Linked DNA regions of Arabidopsis thaliana. The protein of the gene in region 2 interacts with the protein of the main gene of each other region in a pairwise test. Each region holds a gene or a part of one and is shown on either strand. Other genes may lie near its edges. The genes, in order: AT2G23060, NAC032, ZF3 and AGL102.

Region 1 (6,392 bases), on a different chromosome or scaffold from region 2:
GATTGATGTTTTCTTGAACTCAACCATCTTCCGTAGTTGGAAAGATTCTATCATTGTTCTTCAGACCACAAAAGATCTCTTGTCTGATGACTCAGAGGAGCTCGTGAAGCGTTGTCTCGGCTCTATTGCTTCTACTGCTTCGATAGACACCTCGAAAGTCAAATGGTCTTATACTTACAACAGGAAGAAGAAGCTTGAGAAAGTGAGAAAACCAGAAGATGGTGTTCCAAAAGACTGGTGGGTGGAAGATTTATGCGAGCTTCACATCGATTTGTATAAACAAGCCATCAAAGCAATCAAGAACCGAGGTAAAGTCCCGAGTAACGTTATTGGAGAAGCATTACATGCTTATGCAATAAGAAGAATAGCTGGTTTTAGCAAAGAGTCCATGCAACTCATTGATAGATCTTTGATTAATACAATCATAGAGCTTCTCCCGGATGAGAAAGGAAACATTTCCTCTAGCTTCTTGACCAAGCTACATCGAGCATCGATCTTTCTTGGATGTGAAGAAACCGTGAAAGAAAAGTTAAAGAAAAGAGTCAGCGAGCAGCTTGAAGAGACAACAGTGAATGATATCTTAATGTATGATTTGGATATGGTGCAGAGCCTAGTGAAGGAGTTTATGAACCGTGATCCGAAAACTCACTCGAAAGTATCCGTGGCAAAGCTCATTGATGGATACTTAGCTGAGAAATCAAGAGATCCTAATCTCCCTCTTCAGAACTTCCTCTCTCTCGCTGAGACACTCTCTAGCTTCCCAAGACACTCTCACGACGTGTTATATCGCGCAATTGACATGTTTCTAAAGGTAAAACAAGATTCAAATCCTCTGTTTTTCATAACGTTTCTTGATTTGTTAATAATTTGGAAAATTTTCAGGAACATTCGGGGATTAGCAAGAGCGAGAAGAAGAGAGTATGCGGGCTAATGGATTGTAGGAAACTATCCGCGGAAGCGTGTGAACATGCGGTACAGAACGAACGTTTGCCAATGCGGGTGATTGTGCAAGTTCTCTTCTTTGAACAGATTAGAGCCAATGGTTCATCAACAGGATATAGCACTCCTGAGCTTACCACTACTACTCTAAACACTGAGGATGATGAATGGGACCATGAGAAAGAGTTTTGATTGAATCTTTCTTATTTTGTTTCTTCAACACCATCTTTGAGTTTTACTGGTAGTTTTCATTTTCCTAAATTAGAAAACATTTGGTGCTTGACCTTTGTAATTGGGCCAAGTTTTAATGGGCTTTGTGTTCGGCTTGAAGCCTTTCTCATCTCGAATTTTAAATGAGAATAAAAATCAGAGCAAATTTTGCATTCATTTGTCTCGTTGATGATGGTAATTTCACTAATTTGGGAAATAAAATCACAAACTTGTAGTCAAACAATAATGGAAAAATTTGGAAATAAGAAAAATAAAAAAAATCTGATAGAGAAAGTTGAATAATATTCCTTTCCTTAAATATAAATTAATTATGTCATTTTGAGTTATAAAACTAAAATTCTCTAGGGTCAACAAAAATAGAATCGCCAGGTGGCGATTTAGTCCAATCACCAACAGAACCATCACTATAATCTTCTCCAAGCCGTTTAATACACCACAAATCCTCAGCGCACGATAGCACTTTCCAATGCGGTATCCCTCGCCGGAGCGGCTCTTCGCCGGCGACTTCTGCCGCCACCACGCCGCATCCTCCTTCCTTTGCCAAATTATGTGCATGGTCACACAATGCCTTCACCATTTTCTCCGCGCGTGGTCCTTCTCCGCCGATTCCGTACATAAAATGCAGCCCAAACGGCCGGAAAACCGCCGGGATCGACGGTATTTTCAAAAACGGTAGAGTTTTATCAACCATGCGCGTCGCTTTTGAAACCACGCGCCTCAATCTCGACGCGCCGCGAACTTCTAATCTAAACGAGTCTTTACAATTCCACACGCTTAAAACCGCCCACGAGTCCGGTGGATACTCCAAGAACTTAGCCGAACCGGGCCATGACCTAGACCCGGATCCGTAACAACTGCCACGTGGAACCGCGACGAATGTTCCTAACGAGAGTTTGTTATTCAAAACAGAGTCAATGTCGCGAGGGAAAAACTCGGTTGTGCTAAACCGAAGCCGGTATAGTAACTCAGCATCAGACGGTTCAAGCTTAATTACGGTAACCCGACGAGAAATGTTGACCCGGTGTGCGTAAACCGGGTTAACCAAAATAGACGGTGTACGAAACTCGGCGTAACCACATTTTCCGGTGAAAAGATTGACGGAAGCGTGATTGTCGTTTTCAGTTGCAAAATAGGAATATTCAGCCCCGTTTTGACTAAACCAATCTTCCATAGCCTTCACGAGCTTAAACCCTATCCCTTGTCTCCTGAAGTAATTAATTAAAAAAAAACGTGATTAGTTTAAGCGTTAATTACTCGTGATTGGTTTAGCGTTAAATGCGTGAGATTTAATTAAAACGTACCGGTGTGTAGGAGAAACGCGGAGACCCAAAATGTAAGCGAGTTTAGTGTAAAGTGGTTTGGTAATAACGACATCGTTTTGGGATTTGTTATGAGTTAAATCAAGTCTTTTGGTGGTGATACCACATGTAACGGTTTTGATACATCCCCGAATCATTCCAACTAACTCTTTCTTCTCTTTCGGACCAATCTCAGCCACCTATTACAAATTCCAATTTTAAGTTAAAACCTTCTTTTTATTTAATAGTTAACAATAATAATAACAATAAAATATTAATAATAATAATAATAATAATAATAATAATAAAGCTTTTGGGTTAGTTAGTTCATGTAATTGCTCTTTATATAAAGAAACGGGTTTTTAATATCTTCGGTTTGAGTTGTAACCAGCATGAGGCAAGAAGGTGAATGTCGTTTCACTTATCATTTTTTAATTAATTAACTATAAAACAAAACAAAACAAACCATTTTTTATTTTGATAAACAAACACAATCTTTTTTTTGTAAGTTAATAATTCGTATATTTGCTTCGTCATTATGAAAAGAAATAAGATTTCTCACTAATTAGTGATAAAATATATTTTGGTTAACAACTTAAATTTAGAAAACTGTATTTTTTTATATATTTTAAGATTTAGGTGTTATGAGTAATTTACCAGCATGAGGTAAGAAGGTGAATGTCGGACACGGCAAATAGGGTCACCTAAGAGATCGGTGAAGAGAGAAAGTTTTCCGGCTGGGCCAACTTCGCACCGCCGTTCAACATCTTCTACAGTGGCTAAGTCTTTACTTGGGTCGTATTCTCTAACCTCCACAAGCACCGTCATATTCTCTGTTTTCTAATTCCTCTAATAACTAAAAACAGAGGAGATTGAGAGAGCGAAAGAGAGAGAGAGAGAGATATGGAGAAATGAGAATAAAGTGTGAAGTAGTAGCTTAGGGTTTTATATAGAGGAAAAGAAGTGAGACTGTTGCAATAAGAAGTCAGCAGATTTTCCGAGGACATAGGATTTTTTTTTTAATATAAATATAACGTGAGGTATAAGCAAAGAACACAGAAGCTATGATGTGAATCTAATGTTTAAGCTATACGAGCTAAGATTTTTTAAAAATACAAATAATAAGATTTTTAAAAGGTTTTGAAAATGACTCTTGGTATTATTTTCGGCTGCCATTTTAGTTATGAATAACAAATTAAATAGTTCTATCATTGGAGAGAGTTAATAGGACCCAATATTAATTCCCTATTAATTATGCTCATTTTTCGCAATGTTCATTTTTTGGAATATACTGTTTTATTTTATATAGTGAATTTTTCAGTAAACAAATGAACGAATCTAGAGGGAATTGATTTCATGAGATCATGCACAGAGGAAAAAAGAATTTGGAATGATCAGATTAGTAGTATCAATACAATAATCTAATAGTGGAGGGCTGAGTTAATTATTCTTACTTATTTTCCCCGTTTAATAAAATGATTATTTTTGTTCTTTAAACAATTGTTTAGTTAGGAATTTTATACAAAGATATCAGAGAACAACTCAATATGGAATTAGAATAATTTTAAATGAAATAGAAAAATAATTATTTGTCGATGCTATGAAGTGAGAATATTAATGGGTGATTAAGACGAGCATTGATATGGAACTTGCTCAGAAAAGAGACGTGGAAAGTGTGAGTGAGAAGTGGAAATGGCGGCTTATGGTTTCTCTCACTCTCTTTTCATTTTCTCTTTGTTAATTTTATTTGTTCATAATTATCCGTTTTTGCATGAACGTATGTATAATTGTTACTCTTACCTTACCTCTAATCATTTGCTCTAAGTCATTGTTATTGATAGGCCTAGTTATTGACACGGCATCATAAATGAGCCGTTATGTTAATAAAATACATATATGAATACGAAAGGAGATGCAAAAACTCAACCCCCAAAAGAAGAAATATGAAACAGAATCGTTTTGTATTTATACTACTTATCATTATACGAAAGTTAACATTTTTGTGTTGACAAAAAATAATTAAACATTTAACTAACAACAATAATTTGTAAAACGAGTCATTGGCTGCTTATTAAACACTACATATATGTAAATCGTTGCAGTAAAATGTAATCGTATATCACTAGACACTAGTCTTACTCTTATCATCAATCTTAAAAGTGGTTAAAAGTAGTAGAAACAAAATAGTATCATTGATTTATTTGTGTATTAATATCTTTTACTTTTTCTTACGTTAGTAAGAAAAACATGACCATGTATATATAATATACTCGAATTTGCGTCTCCTTGAATTTTCATGTTTTGAAACGGACAGGAAAGGTTACATAAAAAAGAAAGGGACAAGAAAAACTTCATGACTTGAATAAAGGATATGTATCACGACAACATTATAGTTGGCAATATAAAACAATTGATATGTTCGACTCATTAACTAGTTGAAAAATTCCCCTTTTATAAAGTTAGGCTACTCCAATCACACAATTAATCATTTTTTAAAAATCGCTTGGTAATATTCACCTAATGAAATCGGATCAGAATGATGGAATTGTAATCGAGAATTATTAGCAAAACAAAATCGAATAAATGAATATATCGTATGAAAGTGCGTTTGGCAATTGGCATGGCCCCCATTTGTTTCCATAACAATCTTAAGACTTTTTAATCAAACTCTTCTAAAAGTTCAATAAAATTAGCAAGTGTGTTACTAAAGAACCTAATTATTCCGTCAAATTTCAAAATAAGTATGTCGCCTTAATTAGTCAATTGATGTGTATATCATCTAGATGCTTATAGACATAAATAATTTGGATTCGATTATATTTAATCTGTCTATTCATGGGATCAAGCATTTTTTTTCTCCCACAGGATTGTCTAATCGTAGATTCCCACCCTTTCAAAATAATAAGATACTACCAATTTACGTATATCCTAATATCCATCACATATTAGTTACTGTGAATATATGATCGTTATTCCCATTTCGTATAGAAATTTAAAACAATATCTGAATATCGACCATCTCTATCTAACATAAAGATATATTTATATTACTCAAAAACGCAAAATGTCGAACCAAGCAAGACTTGAGAGGCATTCAAATGGAAAAATGGGGTTTTCATAAACACAGGATTGTCGTGAACTTTTGTTATTATATAGTTGTACCAAATATTTTCTTAGTTATTTCCATTTGGAATTATTCTTTGATGAGGTGAGTAGTATTAAGTTATTTATAAAAATTGACACTAAACTAATAATTCAGATCAAAATGTAGATTTTTCCTTTGTAAAATACAACCATCTCAATTTGAATATGATGTGTCATCTATAGTCAATGATGTACATGACAAAAGCGCTTACGTCATAGGATTCAGAATAAACTAAAAAGAGAGACGAAGAAAGGCACTAATCTAAGGCAAATATAACGGTGCGTAGTTTCAGATATATCTTCCCATCTTACCTTATAATGTTCTCCACCGTCACATTCGTGTATGCTAGAAATTTAGTGTTCCTTTCTTAGTTTTTGTTCAAGAAACTTATAACTTCTTTAGAGTTGCTAGTGTTGAGATTGAGTCTTCGAATTAGGTTTCGCAAAAGAACTATATTTGTAGACTTATACGTATTCTTGATCCTTTCACGATTTCAAAGTAAAAAGAAAAAACAGAAACAGAAATTAAAAAGTTTGAGGAAAGTGACTTTAGTCAAGTATTAAACGGTTCATATTTTCGGGTTTTTACATCAAAGTTCTATTCCAGCAAATTGTGTTATCAATCAAGATGTCTTAAAAAAAATAAATACAAATCCGTTTTAGTGATTCGAGTTAACTTTCACCGAACTTAGTTTAGCTCGAACACTCTATTTTACCTAGAGTCTTTAGGACCTTCTTCTTCTACGAGATAAAGAGATAGTCTTCCCGAAACATAGTCTA
Region 2 (6,318 bases):
TTTCAGAGAATATCTAAGATCCACGATCATCTCTTCATCGGACTTTCCGGTCTCGCCACCGATGTCCAGACATTGTAAGCTCTCGTATATGTTTACTCCTTTCCTCAGAGAATTTTAGGTGAATTACAAAATTTAGGGCTCCGTTTTTTTTTGTTTTGTCTTTGGTACTGAAGGTACCAGCGACTCGTATTTCGTCATAAGTTATATCAGCTTAGGGAAGAAAGAGACATGAAGCCTGAAACTTTCGCTAGTCTTGTATCGGCTATTCTTTATGAGAAAAGGTTGGTGAAATGTCTTCTTCTCTCAATTTGTTATTAGTTTCTAGTTTCCTCTTAACAATCTGATTTCTTATGATTAATGTGGCATTGCCACTACTAAGTACCAAATTCTTTATTTCAGATTTGGCCCATTCTTGTGCCAACCTGTGATTGCTGGATTGGGAGATGATAACAAACCCTTCATTTGCACTATGGATTCTATTGGAGCCAAGTATGCTCGCTTTCTTCATTACTTAAGACGTTATATCTCATTTTTCGTCTGTAATGCCATTTAATTTACTTAGTCAGTGACTGTAATCGTGAAACTTGCTAGGTCAGCTAGAAAATGATCGTGGATTGATATTTTGGTTTTAGTTGGAATCTAATTTTGGTCTTTTGTCATCCAATGCAGTGTATGCATGTCATATGAGTGAACTTATTTTACATGTGTTGAGCTGATTTAAATATGATTCTTAATATAGTTGAGATTTTACCGAACATGATAGTTGCAATGGTGAGCATGCCTTGACGCTTGTTCTCTCTAAATGCAGGGAGTTAGCTAAAGATTTTGTTGTCTCGGGAACTGCTTCAGAATCTCTATATGGTGCCTGTGAAGCCATGTTCAAACCAGATATGGTATGTGCCTTCTGAAAACTTGTTTTTGTACCGATTCACTGGATACTCAAATGTGTGTTTATCACCTGAAAATTTGGTAGGATCATTCATATGTAAGTATTCTATTGTAGAATCTTGATCTGGTAGGAATATTTGTGTGCATAGTGCTGGTGATATATGACGTAACTCCAATAATTTTCTCTGTATATTTTAATTTGGCTTAGGATTAAGATGTTTCAATATTGCGATTACTTCCCTGCCATAGTACTGCTTCGATAAAGTTTGAATTTCAAGGTCATCATTCTAAGAAGTGCATTGTAAACAGACTCGTGATGAAATGAAAAGCATATAACTAGACTTAACAAATTTGAGTTTCAGGAAGCTGAGGAACTATTCGAGACAATTTCACAAGCACTTCTCTCTTCAGTTGACCGCGATTGTCTTAGTGGGTGGGGAGGACATGTCTACGTTGTGTAAGTTTTGTTCTCCTCATCTTCTTCTTCTTCTTCTTCTTCTTTTTTTCTGTCACATCTGGCTTCTTACAGAATATACCTCATGTGCACTTATCTTCTAAGGATATGTATTATATAAGATAGTAACATTCTTTCATGGTCATGTTGTCCAGAACACCAAAGGAGGTGAAGGAGAGAATCCTGAAGGGAAGGATGGATTGATCTGATATCACATATCTGCTTTTGTCCAAGTTCGGTATACTCCTTAACCCGGTTATGTAGAAGCTCTCGTCCCATAGTAACTATGTTCCTTCTCTGAAACTGGATATTGTGGTTCGTTCTCTCGGATGTTTTATTTGCTATTGATAGAGTTCAATGAAAATGAAGAAATAGCAGTTGTTATCTTGTTCCAGTACTCGATCATTCTATGTACCTTGTTGTTTCTGTTTTAATTTCGTACCAAGTGTTCCAGATTTCTGGTTTGTCGCAGTCTTTAGTTTTCAAGGTTGGTACTGATCAGTGACACGTTTTGTTGTTTGTCTTCTTAGTGTTCATGTTCGATTCACTATGGGTGACTTTAGAAAGACGTTAACATGTCAACGAAATATTTTGGTCAACTATCAATAAACATGGTTTGGCTAACGAAATCATACAATAACTATGAAATCAATGTAATTTGGAAGGTGATCACTAGTAACTGCAAATAGAAACGAATCAAACTATTATGATGATGATCCTGATGCTGCCATCTGACATTGTGAATGATTTTGCATGTCCTGTTCTGTTTGTGGCGTTAGATCGAGCCAGAGAGGCAAAATCCATACGCATAAGCGTTTTGATGATTTCATATAAAACGTGGCATGTGCAATAGATGTGGTCGTTACACGAATATAAACCCAATCCTGCCGACCTAACTAATCTCGGTGGGTATTCATATACTACCTGTGTGGGCAAAGCATATAAAGGTTCTACTTGGGCAATCATTATCGATGCTCGTAAATTCATGCGTCTAATCATTTTGATTATGAACCATCCACATCATGTCACGTGTCTAAACTCTTCGGTCACTTTTGAGCTTTTTATCAAATTCAACCCGCCACAATAAAAAGCGGCAGAACTAACATTCCGGCTCCACGTGGCATAGATCGAAGCGTTTATCTATTAGGTGGCACAGGCGGCTCGAGATGACGTTCTTGTGGACTCCATTAGAGAAAATGACAGAATTAAGTGGGCATTAGCATAAGTTGATAACTATGAGGTGCTTTTTAAAAAGAAAACTAACAGCTGCGATTCTGTTTTTTTTTGCCGTTAGTGTACGCTAAATCATAGACCTCTTCGTGGTTATAAAGAAAGAAACTTAATTTGTCTCGAATTTGAGTTTGGATGCGACGTTTTACGTACTAGTTTTATAAAAGTAAATGTTATAGACCTTGAATTTCAAAGTGGAATGTATTTTACACACACAATTGATACACCAACAATTGTGGAAGCAAGGATATAGAGTATCGATCTTTAATGGAGAAGAATATATCCTTAAAGTAATCATTACTTTTTAATTACGGCGGAAAGAGAATAGTTAAATTTACGGCGAAAAGAATGTTCATTAATCAATTGATGACGTTCGTTTATAATTTCAAATAAGATCGAAAATAACAGGTGAACAAAGAAAAAATAGACATTAAAAATAGTAAGATCGAAAATACAACCCTTAAAAATCTCACGAAATCAATGAGAGAAACAATTTTGAGATACGGTCAACGTTTGGTCTCCTTTAGGAAAGTACACGCATAAGATCGAACGTGTCGATTCTTATTGCTCGTTCCCAAAATCGACATGCTCTCGGACCGCTACATTCCAAATAGTCTGACGTAAGCAATGACAAAACTCACCTACATTACAGTCTGCCACGTGTCCCTCTCCATCTACTTCAAATGAATCCTCCACTATACAGATTTAACCATTTTTCTATTTTTGTTTGAGATTCCTTTCCACCAACACAAAGCCCCTGTCTATCCGCCATGTGTCCACGACCTTTCTTATATATATAGTCATCTTTCTTCTTTGCTCGAGAGAAGTTTCAACTTTCAAACATATCTTTACAGTTCTTTCTTGCTAAACAACAATAAAGGGGAAAATAGGTTAATTATGATGAAATCTGGGGCTGATTTGCAATTTCCACCAGGATTTAGATTTCATCCTACGGATGAGGAGCTAGTCCTCATGTATCTCTGTCGTAAATGCGCGTCGCAGCCGATCCCTGCTCCGATTATCACCGAACTCGATTTGTACCGATATGATCCTTGGGACCTTCCCGGTACGTTTCTTTCTTTTCCCCTTTAAATCACACTATACACTAACAGTAACAGGATTCTATAAAATCGGTCTAAGAATTAATAAACCGGTTTACAATTTACAGACATGGCTTTGTACGGTGAAAAGGAGTGGTATTTTTTCTCACCAAGAGATCGAAAGTATCCAAACGGTTCAAGACCCAACCGTGCAGCTGGTACTGGATATTGGAAAGCTACCGGAGCTGATAAACCAATAGGTCGTCCTAAACCGGTTGGTATTAAGAAGGCTCTAGTGTTTTACTCGGGAAAACCTCCAAATGGAGAGAAAACCAATTGGATTATGCACGAATACCGGCTCGCTGACGTTGACCGGTCGGTTCGTAAGAAAAACAGTCTAAGAGTGAGTGAATTTATCAGTTCAAACCGAACTTTGAATATGATTTTGAATCGGTTTAGTTAACCGGACGTGTTTTTGATATTCTTGAACAGTTGGACGATTGGGTATTGTGTCGTATATATAACAAGAAAGGTGTCATCGAGAAGCGACGAAGCGATATCGAGGACGGGTTAAAGCCTGTGACTGACACGTGTCCACCGGAATCTGTGGCGAGATTGATCTCCGGCTCGGAGCAAGCGGTGTCACCGGAATTCACGTGTAGCAACGGTCGGTTGAGTAATGCCCTTGATTTTCCGTTTAATTACGTAGATGCCATCGCCGATAACGAGATTGTGTCACGGCTATTGGGCGGGAATCAGATGTGGTCGACGACGCTTGATCCACTTGTGGTTAGGCAGGGAACTTTCTGAGTTGTCACGTGCGATTAGAGTTAGTGGAAAGTGGAAACTATCACTGTCTGTTTTCGCACGTGTCGGGTAGCCGTCTTGAAACCCGCTAGCTGATCCAGAAGTGACCTCATTGGGCTTTTCAACAACAATTGGGCCTTAGCCTTTCTTCTCCCTTAGTAAGACAAGCTACTGTATTGTGTTGTTATTTTCAGGAAGCAATATAAATTCATTTTAATCACTTATATATTCTTTACATTTTTTTTTCACTCAAAACTACAATCTAGCTTCTTCTTTTTTTTTTTTTTTTTTTGTTATGGTTGTACTACAATCTAGCTTTGTTATATATATATATAAGTTAAAAATAGTAACTAAATTACAAACTAAAATAAAATAAAGAAATTGGAAGATATCACTAGTGTTTGGGGTATTAGGGAGGGAGGGGAGCTCGAGATCCGATTTTACTGACTGCATGGTATCGAAAAAGTGTCGGTAATGGTAGGGTCTGACAGATAACAGTCTTATCGTTGCAACTTGCATTCAAACAAATCTCATTGTTCGCTTTAATTTCTAATTAATTTGTTTTTGTCTTTTGTATATTTATTTGATTTTGACACGAGTTTGTCTTTCCTAATAAGACCGAGGCATGATTAGTTTAACCGGTTTGAATTGTTTAGGTTAAATCGGAGTCCAAGTCAAATACATCGCTATCTAACGAAAACGACGACTGAAATTTCGTAAAGTTCCTTACTATAAAACTGATCTAACTATCTTCTACAAGAACAATATAATAAATTTGATGCATTATGAATTCACAAGTTTTAAATCTTTATGATTTTGTAGCTCATGAAATTGAATGATGTTTCTTTTATTATCACATGTCATTAAATAAAAATAGTTATGAGTAGATGACATAAATACTATTTCAAATAAATTTATCCTCCATCTAATTGTTATGAGATGATTATTTCCTATAACATGGTATCTACTATATGGCCGTCTAAATTAAGTATCAACGTTTAAACTGCGCAATGCTCAAGTTTTCATAAGATGTGATTTGTTAGAGGTTAATTAAGAAACTTGCGAGTGTATATGTGGTCTCTAATCTATATTTTAATCTATAAAAAGGGAAGTGAAAATCAAGATTAAAAGCTTGGATGTCATAGTATAAAAGAATAGTAAAGTAAGGGGACCAGACATATTTGTTGCGAACTGGAAAAAAATGAAGACAGTCAATCTCACTGGGGAAGTGTGGGGTTTGAAGTCCATGTTAGGTCTGTTTGTTGTTGCTCTTACAACCTTCACTTTCAATTTACAACCAAATCTTCTTTACACTTTATACTAATTTATTATTCATGTTTCCAATAGCATTAAAACAGTTTTAAAATCTATCCAACTCTTTTTTTCCCCTACTAAATCAGGAAATTCAAATCATATGGACAATATACTCCATCAAACAGTGTAAATCTGTTATCCACAATGCATAATGTTGTGTTTAATTAACTCGCATTCGTCACAACCAAATTAGTGATTTCTCTCTAATTAACCAATGTATGTAGATGTGAATAATACTTATGTAATAGTCCAGTTTTCAACAAACATATCATAGTTTAACGAAATTGGACAGATTCGAGATCACAACTCGGTTAAGATAAAACTGTGAATAGAATATTTTTCTGCCTAGGTTATAACTTAAAACTATAATATTTTTGGGAGCATGTATTATGTGACTTGTGCGAGAATTCTGTGTATATATGGTTGACAAGATGGATGCTATTTTTGTAAATAGCTAGATGGCTACATACATATTCACTCATGTTTTATAACGTAGAGAATAATTAGTCCACCGCTCTATGCCCCATTTGGAATAAGGTTAATTGTTACAACATATATTTTGGTTAAATGGTTCCGAGTTAATAG
Region 3 (4,908 bases), on a different chromosome or scaffold from region 2:
TTATATTTTTCATTGCAGAGAAGACTGTACAATGCATGGAGAAGTATCTCTAATCTGTATAATTCTGTCAGCATGAAAAGAATTGAAATGCAGCACCTGAAGCAGAATTTGAAACTGATATCTATCCTCAATATGCAGGTAAGTTAATCCGCTTTTGTTATTTATTGAACTGCCTTTAGCCCCTGTGCTCTTTTAGTAACACTATATAAGTTACTCTCAGTCTTCTGTTCTTCCCTTTTCTGTTCTTTCTTTTATATCTCTATTTCGGTTCCTTTGTATGCTCTGCTTATTACAGCATTGGGACCTCCTAAAAGCTTCATCTAATTGAATTTTACTTAGCCAGAAACTTAAATGTTTTTCATGCCTATGTATAGATGGGACATCTAGAAGAGTGGTTGGTTATTGATCGGAATTATATGGGTTCTTTGGTAGGAGCTGCTGAAGCTTTGAAAGGCAGCACCCTTTGTCTACCTGTTGATTGCGGGGCAATGGTTTGGCTATTCTACTCAAATTATTTTTTAGTTATGTGTTGGGAAAGCATGTGATCCTTGCTGATGATCATGTTATCGCAGGTAAATGTACAAAGTGTTAAGGATGCCATTTGTTCAGCAGTTGATGTTATGCAAGCAATGGCATCTTCCATATGCTTGTTGCTGCCAAAGGTGACTCTTCTTTTCTCTCGGATAATGTTTATGGCACAATCTTCTATTGCGTTTTATTCATATTGTATCTTCAAAGTGAAAGCCAATATCCCAGGTTGGGAAAATAAGTAGCTTGGCAGCAGAACTTGGCCGTGTGAATGCCAAGGACGAAGGGATGCTCGACGTGTGCCGGGACCTTCTAAACACAATCTCAGCTCTGCAGGTACAATATCTCAAATTCATTATAGATTTGTCTGCACTATACCTACAGTGTTGGGGATTAATCTCTAAACTATGCAGGTAACAGAATGCAGTTTGAGGACACAGGTTACACAGCTACAATAGTAAGGTGGCAAAGTTAACAAAACAGAGTGTAAGTAAGAAAGCTACTCATTATCGGCAATTTTGGAGTTATGAGAATGTAAGGAGATCATCTAATTCAAATAGAGAGGCCAAATTCACTTGATAGTTTAACAACCAAACAAAAGTCAGTTGTAAATATTTTCGATTCGGTTTTCTAATGAATTTAGTATGCTGTTACTTCAGAAACAAAGGAATTGAATCGTATTGTGTATTGGTAATAGAATCAACAAAACTGTTCCTTGAAATTGAAATTTGATATTTACATTTGATAAACTTCCAGGTCTTCAACAAAGACTTACTTCAGGCGAGGCTTCTTAGTCGCCATCGGACTCATCACTTCGTCGTCCGGCGAAAATCCCTGCACCGGTATAATATTAAGGTCAAATCCACGGTGGCTACTACTGCTGACGTGGCTAGTAGACCCCACACCTTCCGAGTTCGAAACGCCACCATCGTAGTGGCACCGCTTGTGGCCGCCGAGAGCTTGACCGGTGGCGAAAGATTTCCCGCAAACCGAACAAACGTGAGATTTCACGGCGGTGGATGGTGTCGATTTATCATTCTCTCCACCACCGTATAAGCTCCGGTGGCTCGCTTTATGACCGCCGAGAGCTTGGTAAGACGAAAACGTCTTGTAACAAACGCCACACTTATAACTCGGCTTCTCCGCAACCGTCACAGAGTCAAGATCGCCGCCATCCCGAGCAAGAAGCATGAGACAGAAAGCTAGATACTCTTCCTCAGTGAGACGGTGGTTATGATGAAGATCAGATCTCGAACGTTTGGATCGTTTCTTACATTTGGTCCACTGCTCAACGCCATTGAATCTTAAGGGATCCTCGACCAATCTTGGTGAATTAAGAGCTTCAAGCGCCATTGCTATAGAAAATTTAAAACCTAATTTGAGAGCAGAGAGATATATAGAAGAAGGTGAAGTATGGAGAAGAATCTTGAGAAGAGAGGAAGTTGCGTGAGAAAGAAGAGTGAGAGTGGGTGGCCAAATTGGCCATTCTAATTATTTTAAGTATTTAGTTGAAACGAAATATGTGCTGAGCAAGTTGTTTGTTGTAAGTTGTAACGAAAGTGAATGTATAATTAAAATATTATTTCAACATTTGGTGAGAGTGGAATATATTAATTTTGGCACGTTTTGTGGGGGAGAGAAATGTTACACAAGTCGGGCTATATACTCTTCTTCTGACTAGTTGAGAGTTGACATTTGAATCCAACTACACACAATAATGATTGATTCTTTAAAACTAATAAAAACCTTGTCTCTAAACTTAGGCCGTATTTTACAATTAATATTCATCTAGCTTTTCATTTATGTTTTAACACTTTGCTTATATATGTAGTTATTTATTTAAGTGTAGGTTTGTTGTACCTTTGGGAATTTCTGAACAAACCCAATAGCATTCATTACTTGGTCCAAACATTTGAAAACGGAGGCAATGTGTGTAGATTAAGATTATAATGAGGAAACCTTGAATATAAAAGATGATTGGATGTTTCGGTAGAGAACTCATGACAACAAGAAACAAAGAGCTTATAACTTAATTCCCACAGCCCATTGCAACCAAGAATCATGAAATTTTCTTTATTGGTTTTAATTCAAATGCGTGAATGTCTAGAGTTGAAGTTACACTAAATTGGATTCAACAACTTGTGTCATGATACGGTATAAGAGTTTTGGTTTAATGGTCTTCTCTTTAGTATAAGGTTTTGGGACTTTTCTTTTAAAGTTAGGATTATGGGTGCTTTTTTCACGTTTAGGTTAGAATCTAAGTTGTATCATTTTTACTAGCTATTTACGTTATAATATAGATTGTATAATTACTTATATAATTAGGTCTTTATGCTAACTAAAAAATAATTTCCAACAATTAATTAACCTAATTCTCTAAGAGTAACCTATCTCTCTCTCTTTTCTCACATTACGAGATCTAAAAGACACATCATGTTAGATGCCTAAAAACGAAAAGCCTAATGAAGTGTAATGATTCTTAGGCTTGCTGCAACTAACGAGTTTAAGACAAGCTACCGAAGCAGATATACCAGCAAAGTTTGGTGGCCTGAGCAACGATGACCTTCGTAAACTCTTGAAAAACATATGGGTCATGCATGTGCTTTCACGAATATAATGTGTGCATATATCTCTAAACCTTTAGTTTTTCCTTTCACAAGCGGAAGGGGGACCTTTTGGGTTATGTTGCAATGGGAGAATCGTCGGTAACAGATTATGCATGGTTGAATCATCAATAGCTTAACAACATCTAGTATAAACTTGTGTGTAATCTTTAGAAAGAAAAAACTTTATAATTAATCTAGTAACGGGATGTTGAAAAAATAGATCTAACAACCAATGAATAGCTAATCGGTGAGATTAATGCATTGTACCTTAACTCAAACTTAGAGACAAGAATACATTTCCGAGCTGTGTTTCTTTGTTTTTATTATGGACAATGACTTTTGACTTATTAAATTTTATCTGTCTCTGTAAGGGTGATCTTAAGACAAGCAAACGAGTGTGAATCTGATCTTGTCGGAATCTCAAATTATTCCGTGCCGTCCTTTGGTCTTCTACTATTACTTTGTTCATTATCTTTTAACAATATGTATTATAGGAATTTGAATCAAGCTAATTAGACAACGACCACATTAGCATGCAGATACATATTCTAGTCACGAGTAAATTGTTGTTTAGACTAAAAAGTAGCTCGTCTATATTGTTTATCATCATCTTTAATTACGTATTCAATTCTTATTGGGTTAATTAGATTCGATTTGTAGTTAGAATATTTTTTTAAAAAATTAGTTAGTAAAAATGTTGGGTTGTGAATTCACTTTTTTTGGACTCGCTATGTGATCCGACACTCGGACATTAACGATAATATCTACATGTCTACAGTTTAATTAGTTTAAGCGAATCGTGAATTTTTTTCTTATTGGATGGATCGACACTCCGAACCCCAACGTAAGATCATCCATGTTTTGCGGAAAAAGAGAAATTATTCACATCTGGATTATAGTATTTCATTGACTATTTATTTTCCCAAACGTTAGAAAACTAACAAAACAAGTTCATTGTCACAGGACATTTTTGTACATAACGTGCATTGGGGGCGCCCCATATATTCTTTCTTTACTCTATTTGTGATTGTGTGTACATTAAAATGTTTAACATTCATTGAAAAACATGAATCCTTCTATATATATATAGAATATACTAACATTAATGTACTCGTCATGCAATGGAGTGGCATAACCTCTTTGACTCTGTCTAAACTTGGCTTTTACCGACCCCACAAGTTGACTAATCGTAGTTGAGCATGGTAGGTTAAGAACATTAAGACTTGTTCAAGATACAATGAGATTTTAAAACCCTGATTTTATAATCAGCCATCAAATATTTATATTCCTTCTCAAAGTTATTCTCCTCATGTCTCTAATATAAGCTTGAACGTTGCTATATATAAATGTAAAGGCGAACGCATAAGAAAAGAAAAATGGAGAATGAAGCTTTTGTAGATGGTGAATTGGAGTCTCTTTTGGGGATGTTCAACTTTGATCAATGTTCATCTAACGAATCGAGCTTTTGCAATGCTCCAAATGAGACTGATGTTTTCTCTTCTGATGATTTCTTCCCATTTGGTACAATTCTGCAAAGTAACTATGCGGCCGTTCTTGATGGTTCCAACCACCAAACGAACCGAAATGTCGACTCAAGACAAGTAAGTTTAAGTAAAAAATGTTAAGTTTCCTATGTTTACATTTGTCGAATATTAACCCATAACGGTAATGCAAAGCAGGATCTGTTGAAACCAAGGAAGAAGCAAAAGTTAAGCTCGGAAAGCAATTTGGTTACCGAGCCTAAGACTGCTTGGAGAGATGGTCAAAGCCTAAG
Region 4 (5,128 bases), about 12 Mb from region 2:
TCTTGCACCTTTTGGTCACTTTGATGAAAGATTAAGAACCTTTTTCCAACTAAAAGGTTGCACTCATGATGGTGAATTTATTTTCGTATCTTCCACGTTTCGAAAGATGGATTATATTTTATTTTTTGATCCGGTGAAAAAAACCTTTAGAAGATTCGAACTTAAAGAAATTGCAGACGACCAAGCTAGGGTCAATAATGGAGATCCATATGGACCTATATTTGCGTTCTGTGCTTTCTTGGATCACGTTGAGAGTCAAATGTCTTTGCAATAATTTTAATTTTTTTCTTTTTTGTTCTTCCTTTAGAATGATCATTTTTGCAAGTTTAATTATGATTTTTTTTTCTTATAAGTTCTCATCCCTTACTTTGATTCTATCACGTGTCATCTTCCTCCCTTGCCAATTCCCTACAGCATTTCACAAATTCAACATCAATCATTTAGTAGTAGTAACTCGATCCTTATCTTTCTAAAGACTTTTATTTATCTTTTTGGGCCCTATAAGTGAATTGCACCAAGATTACGCATATACCTGTTGGAACTTTTTTGACAAAACCTTTCCGGTGACTTTTCCGCCAAATTTCGACCAAACGGCTGAACGGAATTATCGGGACATTAGTGCATTGGAAAGCGGGTAAAGAGTACTACAAAATGGTATACTCATACGTCAAAAACGGAGTTGTATTGAATAAGAAATAAGGGTGTAAAGTGGGACACTTGGGCCAAACCTGATCGAACCGAACCGAACTAGGATGAGCCGGGCTGCGGGTTGTCGGGACGTCCCATCGTCGACTCAAGGGCTGTCGGGCTTGCGGACCGTCATGCTTGTGAGTTATTGGGCTTGCTGAGTTGAATCTTATGGAAATATTCTCAGAATAGTCTCAAAATATTCTTAGGATAGTCTCAAAATATGTCATGCATATCCTGAGAATATTCTCACAAAATCCTATTTTCCTCTACTATATAAAGAGACCCAGCCTCTCATTATTTCTCAAGCTCTCAAAGACAAAACACTCTAAATTCTAAAGTCTCTCCTCTCTCTTGCTTCTTAGAAGTAAGTTCTTAGTTTAAAAACATCATACTGCTTAACATAGATAATTATATAGGTTAAACAAAAGCTCGATAAACGCATCAATGGCATCAACTTCCGATTCGGGCTACATCTCTATGGGGCTCACTCTAAAGATCGCGAATCAAGATCTAAACCTCGACGATTTTAAAGAATCCACCATCTTCTCATCTTCTGATCAAGCTTTCTCTAGATTTACTCATCATTTTCGGAGGATACGTCATCAATCGACTTCCCTCTTGGAAAGAACTTTTAAAATTGGGAAGACTGTGAAAAAGGGGATCGAAACCCTAAATTTTTATTAATTTGGGCATTTTGTTATAACCTATAGAAATATGTATGTTTCTGAGAACATATAAATAACTGCGAGCTAAGTCGGTAAAGGAAAGTTGTTATATCTCACAGGTTGCGGGTTCAATTCCTCAACTTGTAAAAAAAAAAAGAAATTGAAACGACGTTGTTTTATAAGTTAACAGAATTTATAACCGAAGACTTAATTCTGTTAATTTCCCGTAATTTTGGCTCGTTTAAGTCTTAAATAATATCTTATGACAAAAAAAAGACTTAATTCTGTTATTTTTTTCGTCAGTTGACGTAACGTTTTACCCGAAATGGCAAAATCAACGAAAGTTATCTATTTAATTCTAAAGTCAACAATAACTTTGGTATTTAAGTGACATTTCGAAAATTCATGTTTTTTTGTTCTAAATTTGAAAGTTCACATTTTTTTGACATATTTTCCAAAATTATCACATATATTGTATATTATTTATATATAAAAAACATTTCATTACGAAAATCCGATTGAAAAGATAACAAGATGGAGGACACAACTTCCTTCAAACTAAAGCAACCAAAATTTATTCCTTAAACTTTTGGAAAGAAAAATAAACGGTAATTGATTTATATGATATAAATAATTATATATTTATATTTATTTTGACGATTGTTCTAAATAGTTCCAAGAAATCCTGGGCCGAAAGCCCGAAACTCATACATTCCTTTGCTCTGTCCAGACGAATACTCGGTCCTCATCATCTTATTCTTTGTATTCTTTGAGAGTATCGATGGAGAAGACAAATCCTCCATCTCTACATGTTTCCTCTTTAAACCTGCTTGATAGGCCTCGAGTTTCGCCTTGAAAGCAACTAAGTCCTCCAATTTCAGATCTACATTCTCTTTCATATTGGACTTTTCAAGGTTTCTTTGCTGTTTCTTCCTCAAATCCTAAAATTGACAAAAAAAATATTATATAATATAAAATAAATAATGATTATTTAATTCTGTGTATAATAGCAAACCCATCTTTGTAATCTATATGTTGAGAACGAAGAAGAAGGAAAACTAACGGATGAGATTATATTAATGATGGGAAACATACCTCCTGAAACTCTTTGATTTGTTCCAATTCTTTCATGAGACTCCTGAGTTTGGACGAAGCACTAGGATTTTGAATACGCTCAACCACATCGTTGAAGCATGGATAACCGTATGTGTATGGTATATTAGTGGGGGAGATGACCAAGACAGCAATCTCTACATTACACAACTTCGCGAGTTCATCAGCCTTCTTAAAAATGCCATTTCGGCGTCTTGAAAACGTCGCTTTCCTTTCGATGCTATCTTCAATAAATTTTATCTCTATTTTTCTACGACCCATTTCTTAGTTTTAGAGAGATGTTTTTGTTGTTGGTGTTGTTTTTGTTACTACTCTACTCCATTTTATAGATGGATTGGTTCAAGTAGGTTTAACGCATTAATTATAATTTTTTATCTTTGTTATCCTTTTTTTATTAAAATATTTGAATTTACCTTTTAAATATATTTATCTTTTAACTACTACCATAAATATCTTTATAACTCTGACTACACAAATTTATCATAATAGTCAAGAGTTGGTATTCCAAACAAATTCTTAAGATATATTTTCTGAAGAAAGTATAAATTTTGTAATGCTTATCTTTCATTAGAAAATATTTAGGAAAAATACAAATTTTGTAATAATTATAAATTAGATTTAGTATCTCTACATATCATTCCATATATACAAATTTTATTTTAAAATGCAAACTCACACGCGTCAAACATGCGCACTAGCCACGACATATCAATAAAATGAAAATAAAAAACTGATGAAACTTGGTAACAACTTTTTCTAAATTAAAAGGAGTTTTTTATTTTATTATTTCATGTTTTGTTTTCACTCACACGGATCCGACAATAATCACTTCTCCTAAATTCACCCATCAAAAGACATAGGTGTCAAAATCAATTCTTTTAAACATTTCTACATGCATCACCATATTTCATGAAACTAAAGTGTTACAATTCATCCCTCTAGCAGATCGTATCGTCCTGGTTGCGCATCAAGACCGTCACAATCGACTTTGTTAACCCTCTTAACTCCACATTCGTCTGGGTTTGGCTCTGATACCGTTTGTAACTCCCCGACCTCCATCTTTCTTAGTGACCCCACGTCCTCTCTCGGCTCACGGGCTCACTCTTACCCGATAGCCGATCCATTACGTTTACGAGGCTTTAAAGGCTTGTTTACCGATCCTACATATCACCACATTATATTTTCTCGTGTTTTATCCTCGCTCATATACAGTTGCGACAATCACTTCTTGGAAGGTCATTCCCTGTAATTTTTCTAACTTAAGCACGCTTAATTATGAAGTTCTTTTCAGATGTTTGACTGAAAATAAGTGCAATTTGATGATATAGGTGGTCAAATCAAATTTTTAAAACTTCTCTGCATGCACCACCATATTTTGTGAAACCAGGGTGTTACAAAAGGTCAAATAAATTGATGTGGATATCGAATTAGAAGATTCCTCATGTGATGCACAAGATGTGTTGGATGGACCCACATCCAACTAGAAGATTCCTCACCCGATACACCAGAGGTGTTGGATGGATCTGTGATTCGACCATGCAATCGAAAACCCTAAAACAAGTTCAGTGCAAATCTAGAGACCCTATTTAACTCCATGGAATTTTAGCTGGAGCACCAACTTTCCGTACTGAGCTGTTTTTCAGCCGAAGACCCATGAAAAATATCTACATTAATCAACTCGACAACGAAACGTTAGAGGATATATTCAAAAATACTTTACCGGCAACATCAGTTAGCAATCTACGACAAATGACATGGCGATCCGAGACCAATGGACTAAGGCTTCAAAAATCATCGAAAATTCATGCATTGTAAAGGGAATAGTCTAACCGAAATCATGCATTATCAAACTCGTTTTGGAGATGAACAACATGAGCATTATGACAACCTTACATGTAGCCGATAACATGTCTTTTATTGAGTTAAAGTGCGTTTCAAGATTTTCTTTAATCCTTTACAGGTTTTAGATTGATATGGAGGAAAAAACATTTTGGGATGCAAACACGCATTTGGAGATGTGAGATCATGTATAAGGGTTTGGAGTTTCGCGTCATGTGGAAGATTTTCCACCGTTATATCTTCCTCATATTGTGATACAAGCTAGGTGATGATCTTTGCTTTTATTTCCAAGTGATTTGAAGAAAATCTAACAGTGAAATAAGACGTTATGGCCAATCTACTTAAGACATGTCAATCAGATGAAACTGGTGTGGAAACTGATCCAGACAATCAGAGACCGATAGGTCTATATATACTTGGGACCGATCAGTCCACCTTCATTTTTGAGTCGACCCTAGTAGGTCAAAGGAAGATATAATAATAAGGTCCCTATGCAGCCAATGTATTGACCTTTTTCGTATCTAGATCAATAAAGTCCAACTTTCTTCTCAAGCTGTTTGCGAAAAATAGATCAAACCAATTTTATACATTTTCCACGGCCGCATTAATTAAACCGGACAATTCGGGAATGGCACGCAAACCAATTAATCAAACTCGATTCCGGTTATCTTCAATTCTCCTTCTTCTTCATCTTCGCGTCCGTGAAGAACAACAATTGAAAAAGCTCCATCTCCTCCAATGGCTACGAAAGCTCCAGAGAAAATCACCAAACCAAAAGACAGAGATTTCCTAAATCATCTCGAAACATATCTCTCCAAAAG

Evidence for each region.
Region 1: the proteins of NAC032 (region 2) and AT2G23060 interact in a two-hybrid assay, tested with the Arabidopsis thaliana proteins (one large-scale study listed by BioGRID).
Region 3: the proteins of NAC032 (region 2) and ZF3 interact in a two-hybrid assay, tested with the Arabidopsis thaliana proteins (one large-scale study listed by BioGRID).
Region 4: the proteins of NAC032 (region 2) and AGL102 interact in a two-hybrid assay, tested with the Arabidopsis thaliana proteins (one large-scale study listed by BioGRID).

Annotation. Positions count from the first base shown.
Region 1 is NC_003071.7:9,811,338-9,817,729, forward strand, and holds AT2G23060 (Acyl-CoA N-acyltransferases (NAT) superfamily protein), read right to left. Parts: upstream 3,402-6,392; 5' UTR 3,297-3,401; coding exon 3,126-3,296; intron 2,669-3,125; coding exon 2,472-2,668; exon of another isoform or gene 2,376-2,471; coding exon 1,502-2,375; 3' UTR 1,445-1,501; downstream 1-1,444. Other genes in the region: NPY4 (Phototropic-responsive NPH3 family protein), read left to right, coding at 1-811, 883-1,131.
Region 2 is NC_003070.9:29,096,560-29,102,877, forward strand, and holds NAC032 (NAC domain containing protein 32), read left to right. Parts: upstream 1-3,279; 5' UTR 3,280-3,469; coding exon 3,470-3,638; intron 3,639-3,740; coding exon 3,741-4,015; intron 4,016-4,104; coding exon 4,105-4,422; 3' UTR 4,423-5,200; downstream 5,201-6,318. Other genes in the region: PBC2 (20S proteasome beta subunit C2), read left to right, coding at 1-74, 174-281, 400-489, 809-893, 1,251-1,345, 1,498-1,546. UniProt on the Arabidopsis thaliana protein: Transcriptional activator that positively regulates age-dependent senescence, dark-induced leaf senescence and stress-induced senescence.
Region 3 is NC_003076.8:17,329,751-17,334,658, forward strand, and holds ZF3 (zinc-finger protein 3), read right to left. Parts: upstream 1,897-4,908; 5' UTR 1,882-1,896; coding exon 1,300-1,881; 3' UTR 1,195-1,299; downstream 1-1,194. Other genes in the region: QWRF9 (QWRF motif protein (DUF566)), read left to right, coding at 19-138, 375-491, 573-662, 757-864, 942-986; AT5G43175 (basic helix-loop-helix (bHLH) DNA-binding superfamily protein), read left to right, coding at 4,511-4,735, 4,814-4,908. UniProt on the Arabidopsis thaliana protein: Transcriptional repressor probably involved in abiotic stress responses. Binds DNA in a sequence-specific manner and can repress the transactivation activity of other transcription factors.
Region 4 is NC_003070.9:17,570,052-17,575,179, reverse strand, and holds AGL102 (AGAMOUS-like 102), read right to left. Parts: upstream 2,767-5,128; 5' UTR 2,730-2,766; coding exon 2,451-2,729; intron 2,297-2,450; coding exon 2,021-2,296; 3' UTR 1,807-2,020; downstream 1-1,806. Other genes in the region: AT1G47765 (F-box and associated interaction domains-containing protein), read left to right, coding at 1-274; PEX11A (peroxin 11A), read left to right, coding at 5,046-5,128.